2 linked regions of the Danio rerio genome follow. The protein of the gene in region 1 purifies or fractionates together with the protein of each later gene. This does not show direct contact. Links are inferred from orthologs where the notes say so. Each region holds a gene or a part of one and is shown in the gene's direction. Other genes may lie near its edges. The genes, in order: trib2 and cop1.

Region 1 (4,478 bases):
GGCGACAGCACTACTGCGCCACTGCTTCGACATATATATATATAAAAAAACAGTGGTGGGCTGTTATCGGTGTTAACGTGCTGCGTTAACGAAAAACTCTTATTGCGCAATAAAAAAAAAAAATCGCCGTTAATCTATTCTCAAAGTTGAGCTGGGTCTATATGCGAGCTATGGTGACTTTCACTTTGATATTTTAGCGTGGATGTATACCTGACCGGTGAGCCGTCTGACAAAAAAGTGCCCTTCTGAATCAAATCAGCAGGATAACGTTACCTGACTTTAACTGCAGTTCGGCAGTTTCACTTTAACTCATGAACATTTCATTCATGCCGTCATGACAAACTGGGGTATTAGACGCAAATAAGGAGTAAGGACTGGTGAGCGTTTTATGGAATTTAATAACGTATGCCAAATGGAAAGAAAATACTTCCGCATTTCGCGATGTTTGTGTGTGGTCCTTTACTGACAGTCATGTGTGTGGTACTTGTCGGAAAATATGACAAAGTCCTACATGACGGTAGTAGTTTGATTGCAGTGTTTACTTCCACATTGCCACTAATATATGCACACTCCACATGTCTTAATTACATTTCTGTTTTGTTCAGTCTTGAATTTAGACTGATTAAGGTAATCAAAAAAATGCTGTTTCGAGCTTATCAAGGCTTACAGTTCAAAAATCATGTTTAACTGAATTAATAAACACAAGTACATCTTATTGGACATCATTTATTTTCATCACCAGTTATCACAGTAGAACAGTTTCTCAAGCAGATTGTGATGCATTTTGGAAACAGGAGATGAGCCCCTGGTCTAATGCGCCACCTGGCTTGAAAACCCTTTCTCAAAGACTTTTTATTTGGGTAGCACACGTTCTGAATGCCTTCGGCCGAATTCAAATGAGCCATTTTAATCTAGATTAATGTAGATTAATTCAGAGACTAATTTAGATTAATCTTGATTAAAAAAATAATCTATGCATTCCTGTAATATGCACATAAACATAAATCATAGTTTAAAAAATGTGTGTGTGTCCTGCATTCCACCTCTAGTAATTATGCAACAGTAATCATCAGGAACCATAGACATTCATTTTTTTTTTGTATCTTTTTTTCTTGCACTTTATGAACCACTAAGGATCATTGCTTCTGCTAAAACTTTTTATTGCATTAGCTTACCAAATACAAAAACGTCTTCATCTTCCAAACTGGCAATCCCTTCCTCCAGAGCTTTGTCATTTATGCTTCATTGCAGAAACCAACTGACATTTAATCATAACACACTTCTCTCCCCCTGTCTACATTCACCCTATAGACAGATAATTTCGGCTGCTTCAATTAAAACTCCAAGGACAACAATCATCTCACATGACCGCGCGGACTGTGGATGTGTCAGCTCCGAGCGAGCGGCCAATGAGAGCGCGCCTCGTGGGTGACGTCATGGGGGCTGGTCGCGCGCGTGGAGCTCCAGTCAGTCCCGCGAGCGCAGTCAGTCAGTCAGCGGCTCGTGTGTGTGTGTTTGTGGCTGACCCGCGCTTAATGGACTAGATTTCCAGCCACGTAAGTAAGATGATGATGGTGTCCTGTTGCTGAAACAAGGGATAGGCCCAGGGGGAGAACGTCGGCCGTCCCTTCTCGCCTTTGTCTCCGAATTATATCCATCCGTCGGAGTTTTGCGTGCTCGCGCGGAGAGAGGACATCGACTTCCCAGGCGTAACAAAAGGCGGCTCGCGACCTGGAGGACAAAAAAAATATCTCCCTGGCTATATTTAGGTAGATACACGGACATGATTCGCTCGGAAGCCCGCATGAATGAACCCGGAGCGCCCTCTCAGGATATCCGAACCCGGCTGGCACTTTAAATTTCATGCACAAAAAGGGAAGGAAATAATTGTTAATTTGTACCTGCTGCGCTGCATCGATTGTGACGTCACACTCTTTACATTCACAATCGCGACGTATTACATGCATTTTCGCGTGTGTTAACCAAACCGTGCTTCTTTTTTTTTTCTTTGAGGGCACCGTGAAGCATAGAGGTCACAATTCATGCATGCACGTCATCGCATGTGTGCTCAAATGACGCCACATTGGCATTGCAATCAGCATTATTAAAGTCGAGGGGAATCGCCGCTTGCATTCATGCCCAGTGTTAAATAGAGGGCATCTGTTTGTTTGTTTTTTTGGCATTCGCTTCTACCTCCCATTGAATCCGTCTGAATCAACCTCCTGATCCGGACGAACCTCCTCCTATACTCATGAACATACAGAGATCCAGTCCCATTAACATTTCGCGTTATGGGAGATCGAGGCACAAAGCGCACGACTTTGAGGAGCTCTCTTGCCTAAGGACTACAGAATCCAGCCAGAGTTTCAGTCCCAATTTAGGATCTCCCAGCCCCCCCGAGACCCCGGACTCCTCGCACTGCATTTCTTGCATTGGAAATTACCTTTTGTTGGAGCCCATCGAGGGAGACCACGTTTTCAGAGCCACCCACCTGCACAGTGGGGAAGAGCTCGTGTGCAAGGTAAGGAACTCGCTTCTCTATGCGTGATATTTTTGGATGGGAACACTCATGCATGCAATTGCATCAGCTATTGATAGGGATCAAAGCATGACATGCATCTGGCTCATTGCATGCATGCATTAGCAGAATGAATGGCTTTTCTTTTGTGATGCATGGAGTGATGAGTTATAGTCACGTGCAAAAAAAAAAAGCATGAGGGAATACCCTTTAAGTGTGTGTGTGTGTGTGCATACAACCATGCATTCATGCGTGCAAGTCTGCATGACTTCAAAACCCAAGACACTCCGAATAGGCATTAGTGAAAACCTCTTATCTTCAGATGAAAGGGAATGGCCTGCCATGTCCATCCCTTCTGTTATATTTAGCCCATCTCTCTGTTTTAGGTGTCTGTTACTAAGCAACATCAAAATTCAGTGTATGTTTTGGGGACTTGAAAATGCAGCAGAGGTGCTCGACTCTGTGCCGCATGGATTTCCATTCTTTTGTTTCACAATTAAGCATCAGCTCTAAAGATGCCACTTCTCTTTGGTGGGCTGATACCTTTGCGCTCCCACCTGAGATGTTGGGTAATCGATGACTGCTTCTAATTTAATTTAAAATGCCCCTCTCTCTCTCTCTCTTTCTACCCTCCAGGTGTTTGATATCAGTCGATATCAGGAGTCACTGGCTGCTTACTTCGTGCTGGGTACCCATGAGAACATTAACCAGATAGTGGAGATCCTTCTGGGGGATACGCGAGCGTACGTGTTCTTCGAGAGGAGCCATGGCGATATGCACTCTTTCGTTCGCACTTGCAAGAAGCTGCGAGAGGAAGAGGCTGCCAGACTTTTCCATCAGATAGCATCAGCTGTGGCGCACTGCCACGACAACGGCCTGGTCCTCCGAGACCTCAAGCTGAGGAAGTTCGTCTTCAAGAATGAGGACAGGTAATAAAGATGTCTGCTTGCAAACCGAACATGCATATTCTGACTAGACTGTTAAAAAAATGCTGAGTTCCTTAAGGAATTAAGTTAACTTATTAGTTTTTACCAATTTAAGTGGATTGAACTTAAAACAATTAAGTTGTCGCAAAAAAAACTGAAGAATTGTGTTGTCTCAGTTTCAAATGAGTAGTTTGAACAAACAGTATGTGTGTAGGGATGGGTACTGAAATTCGGTACTTTATCAGTATCAGTGCTACATTATAAAAGACCGAAGTATCGTTAATCTCTGAAGTTAACACGTGCTATCGGTACTGGAGAATTATTGCTGAGTAAACATTACTTACAGTAGCATAATTTAACTGACCAACCTTTTCTAATTTGGGATATTTGATACTCGTCTGCACAGTTCTCACATGAGAAATGCTTGTGTTTCCGGCGAGCACGTCAAGTATAAAAACCTTCACAGTTCTTGGGTGTGCGCACACACTCAGTGGAGCCTCGTGCTAAGCGGACACACAGCTCATAAGCTTGCGGAGTGAACCAAACTGGTTGTATTGCCCGAGTGAACAGTGACAATGTCAGTTGCAACAAGTTGTTTTCTTGTATAAGTGGAAACGCAAAGAATCTGGCTAAGTGAAAGCATCTTTCGAAAGTCCATTAACTGCAGAAGGACAAACGAAAAGTTTTTGACTGCCTAACTACTAACTGTAATGTTAAATCATCCACATCATTACGCCAGCAGTCAATCACCCAAATTAGTATTTTATAAATAGTTGCATAAACATAAACATTCGGTTACAATGAAAACAGTATTTTTTTCTGCAGTGGCATAAATAAATTTTAAACGATATAATTGCTTTTTCATCAGCTGTATTTACTAATATAGCTTATGAATAGCCTAATAATAAACTATATGCTTATGAAATTATAAAAAACTGCTTATTTTTACATTGCAAGATGTTCCAAAACTGTATTTATGTGTATTTATGTGGATGTGTTAATAAAACATCATAAACATTTTCTCATTAAACTGT
Region 2 (3,827 bases), on another chromosome or scaffold:
TTTTGGATGAGAGAAATGCTCATAAACTGTAACTAATGTAAATACATTTACCAAATAAATTTTAGCATGCAGATCAAAGTAATGCGACTTATCATGTATAATAATAATAATGAGCACGAAGGGATGGCATTAAGTTGGCATTTCGATAAGTGGTCTCACATGGTTTCTCCTACCACAGCAAACTCCTTTTTTTCCTTTTGATATTTAGTGCTAGTTTGTCAGGAAACAGCAATTTTTATTCTATTGAAAGAAATTATGCTTTATTTGCAAATGTTTTATGTGATATTATAGTTTATAAATATGAAAGAACCCCAAAGAAACTGCAACTCTTTAAGTAAATCGTTGAAATAAAGAAACATATCCATTCTAATTTCATTATTTCAGCAATTAATTTAACAACATTTACTGTGTTATTTACTACATATTAGTGCTGACACTAAAGATCAGTCTGCTTCATGCTCTGAACACAGTCTCTGTCATCTGTTAATTTTCTCTATAAATAAATGTATAATTGATTAATTCAAACCAACACGTTCTGTAAGCTCTCAATTAATGATCAAAATGCAAATGAAAACTAATTTAAATTGAATATGTTTAATCTTTAAAGAACTAATATATTTGTTTTAATTTGGCAACATTGTAACCAGTTTAATTCGTTTTGGAACAAAGCAATCGATCTACAGGTCTGAAAGCACATTCAATGCAGCATTGTTTAACTTTTTGGATCTAAGCAAATAATCCCCAAGTGTGAAAGTGCCATCAAAATAAATCAAAACCATTAAAAAGTATTTAGATAATGTATTCATTGTAAAATTGTCAGTAACGTGTGTACTTTTAACTAGTCTTATATGTTCTGAGTTCTGTTTTTAATATATATTGACCAAAATTATTTGGCTTTATGTTTAGGTTATACTTGAAAATTAATTCAAACATTAAATCAAGTTTAATTTATATCCCGGTTGTTTAAAAAAAAAAAAAAAAAAAAGAACAAATTTTTGCATAATGTCATAATATATGAGCCTTACTGACCAATCTCTCATCTCTGTCTGCAGGAATCACAAGCTGCTCAGCGACAGATCTTAATGGAGTTCCTGAAGGAGGCCAGAAGAAATAAAAGAGAGGTTGAGCCTCCACATCTATTTTTAAGAATGTTGAATAATGCACACATGACAGCTTCAGGTCATTAACTTCTCTGTCTTTACTTCAACAGCAACTGGAACAGTTACAAAAAGAACTGAACTTTTTGGAAGAGGATATTAAACGAGTGGAGGTCAGTTTAATATGATGACCCAAAATTGTCAGATAGGAAATGGTGTCATTTGTGTGGTCTAGGAAGGATATTATGCCTCTTTTTAAATGAATATATTTAGGTGCATGATTATACTGTATACTAGGGCTGCATAAAATATAGACATAAAATTAATATCACAATATGACTTGGTGCGATTCACAATGCAGGCACATATCGGTATAAAAGCTTGATGGATTACAATAAATTGATGGATTACAATATTAAAAAAATAAGAAATTAGGATATAAACACACTGAAAGTCTTCATTGAATTATTAACATTTTTTTAAAGATTTATTTTTGACATTTTGCCTTTATTAAGTTGGACAGTAATCAGTCAGAAGGCAAAGTGGGAGAGAGAGGTGTGGCTAGGGTAGGAAAATGTCCTCGAGCTGGGATTCGACATCTAATGCCCTGAAGTGCTTCTACACCATATGTGTACACCATATGTGTAGAAGCTACTAGGCTATTGTGCTGACCAGTGTTATATGATTTAATTTTTCTTTTTACAGCACAGTAATATGTTTAGTATATTTATTTGTTTTTATTTATAAAAAAAATTATTTAGTGTGAGTTTTAACAAAAATGCAATTATAATAATGTTTTAGTCATTATTCCGTTAGTCAAAATATTGTGTATATGGCACATGAAAACATAATATAAGATATACTTACTTAAAAAATATTTTTACTTGCAAATTTCTAGTACATTACATATGTACTTGCTAATACATCCTGTTAAACCTGTACTGTGAAGATAAACCTGTGTTGCCTGAGATTGTCTTATGAAATGTGCTCTAATATTGTATTATTTAGTTCAACAAACAAAATGGCTTATTTGTTATTTAAAAAAAAATTGGAACCATTGTTTTTATTGTTACTTATGTTTTCTATGCAGATTAGTCTCTCAAATACTCTAATGATTTTCCCCTAATTCTAGCTACTCAAGTACTCAAAATGTATTGCAATATTTCTAAGATAGTTATTATTTCTTAATTTTTTTTCCAATATTGTGTGCATTTACTCCCATTAAACAATTTTAGGCAGTAAGACTTTTAAATAAGATATTGAAAGTCTGATATACGCACCAGCATTCTTTATTTAATCAAAGTTTCAAATATATTTTAATGCTTTTTTTTTTGTCTTTGTAATTGCAAAGCCGAATTTCCACCATCTTTACTCCAATCTCTAGTGTTACATGATCTTTACCTAATGCTTATTTTGTGTCTTACTATTTCTAATGTTTAAAGCCATTCAGATTTTCTTCAGGTAGTATATTCAAAAAGACGTCACAACGCAAATGTTTATAGAGTCACGTTTTAAATCACTATGACCCCATGTTTTAGACTGCTGTGCTCAACAGATACATAATACATCTTTTTTTTTTTTCCTTCCTGAAGGAAATGAGTGGTATGTATTCACCCATAAGTGACATGGACTGCAATTCAGACAGTACTGTGCCACAGGTTGAAGCTCCCTCTCCTGCACCCAGGTAAGAAATAAAAACACTAATATGAGATGACAATTAATGACAGCGATGCAATATTTTTTCCCCTGAATAAATTAAATTCCTTTTCTGTCTCCAGCAGTAGCATAATAGACCCTTCGGAATACATTCAGCCTCCTTTTGGTGGAAACTCACAGGTTAATTGAATTAATTTATTCATGATTTCTTCCTGTCTGTTAATTCATGCTGACATTTGTTCACATTTATGTCGTTTCTTTCTTACTTTTAGAGTAAAAGACAAACATGGTACAACAGCACTCTTGCATCACGGCGGAAGAGACTGACGGCACACTTTGAGGATCTGGAACAGTGTTATTTTTCCAATAGGATGTCTCGAATAACGGGTCAGCTGATTCAAAGTTATATATGGACTGTGTATTCATTTTACACATCTGCAATGCTGTTTTATTGAACGCAATCACTCTTCTTGTTCCTAGATGACAGCAGGACTGTTAACCAGCTGGATGATTTCATGGAGTGTCTATCAAAGTTTACCCGTTACAACTCTGTGAGGCCTCTGGCCACCCTCTCTTATGCTAGTGACCTTTATAATGGCTCCAGTATTGTGTCCAGGTAAGGTTTTAAAAGATTGATTAAAGTTAAGACCATGTTGTATGACTTCAGCCTAGTGTAAATCATCATAGCCAGCAGAGGGTAGTATTGTATTACTGAACAACATCCTTTTTTTTTTCTTAGCAAAAGCAGAAAATGACCTGTTTCAAAGCGTTCTTAAATATTTGTTTCTCTAAAGAATTATTTTTTACTTTGTTACTTATAAATTCCATCTTCTTCCATAAAGTATTATCAGTTAGAACATCCATATCTTTTTATTTACTATGCGTTCTAATTAATCAGTCTTTAGGTAAACTGGTTTAAAGTTATAGTTCACCCAAAAATATATATTCTGCCATCATTTATTCACCTTTAACAAGTTTAAGTGTTTGGGTTAGGTTAGGTTTTTTTTTTGTTGAACACAAAGGAAGACGTTCTTCTGTTTGAATAATGTTGGAAACCTGCAACTATTGATTTTT

What was found.
Region 2: the proteins of trib2 (region 1) and cop1 purify together in Homo sapiens (affinity purification with mass spectrometry; 4 studies listed by BioGRID and IntAct, counting the BioPlex papers as one, with this or other methods). This does not show direct contact. The link is inferred for Danio rerio from reciprocal best matches to the Homo sapiens genes TRIB2 and COP1.

The regions. Positions count from the first base shown.
Region 1 is NC_133195.1:48,755,995-48,760,472, reverse strand, and holds the start of trib2 (tribbles homolog 2), read left to right. Parts: upstream 1-1,487; 5' UTR 1,488-2,251; coding exon 2,252-2,521; intron 2,522-3,154; coding exon 3,155-3,447; intron 3,448-4,478.
Region 2 is NC_133177.1:38,094,846-38,098,672, forward strand, and holds part of cop1 (E3 ubiquitin-protein ligase COP1), read left to right. Parts: intron 1-1,052; coding exon 1,053-1,121; intron 1,122-1,210; coding exon 1,211-1,270; intron 1,271-2,689; coding exon 2,690-2,781; intron 2,782-2,875; coding exon of another isoform or gene 2,876-2,878; coding exon 2,879-2,933; intron 2,934-3,025; coding exon 3,026-3,140; intron 3,141-3,233; coding exon 3,234-3,369; intron 3,370-3,827. UniProt on the Homo sapiens protein: E3 ubiquitin-protein ligase that mediates ubiquitination and subsequent proteasomal degradation of target proteins.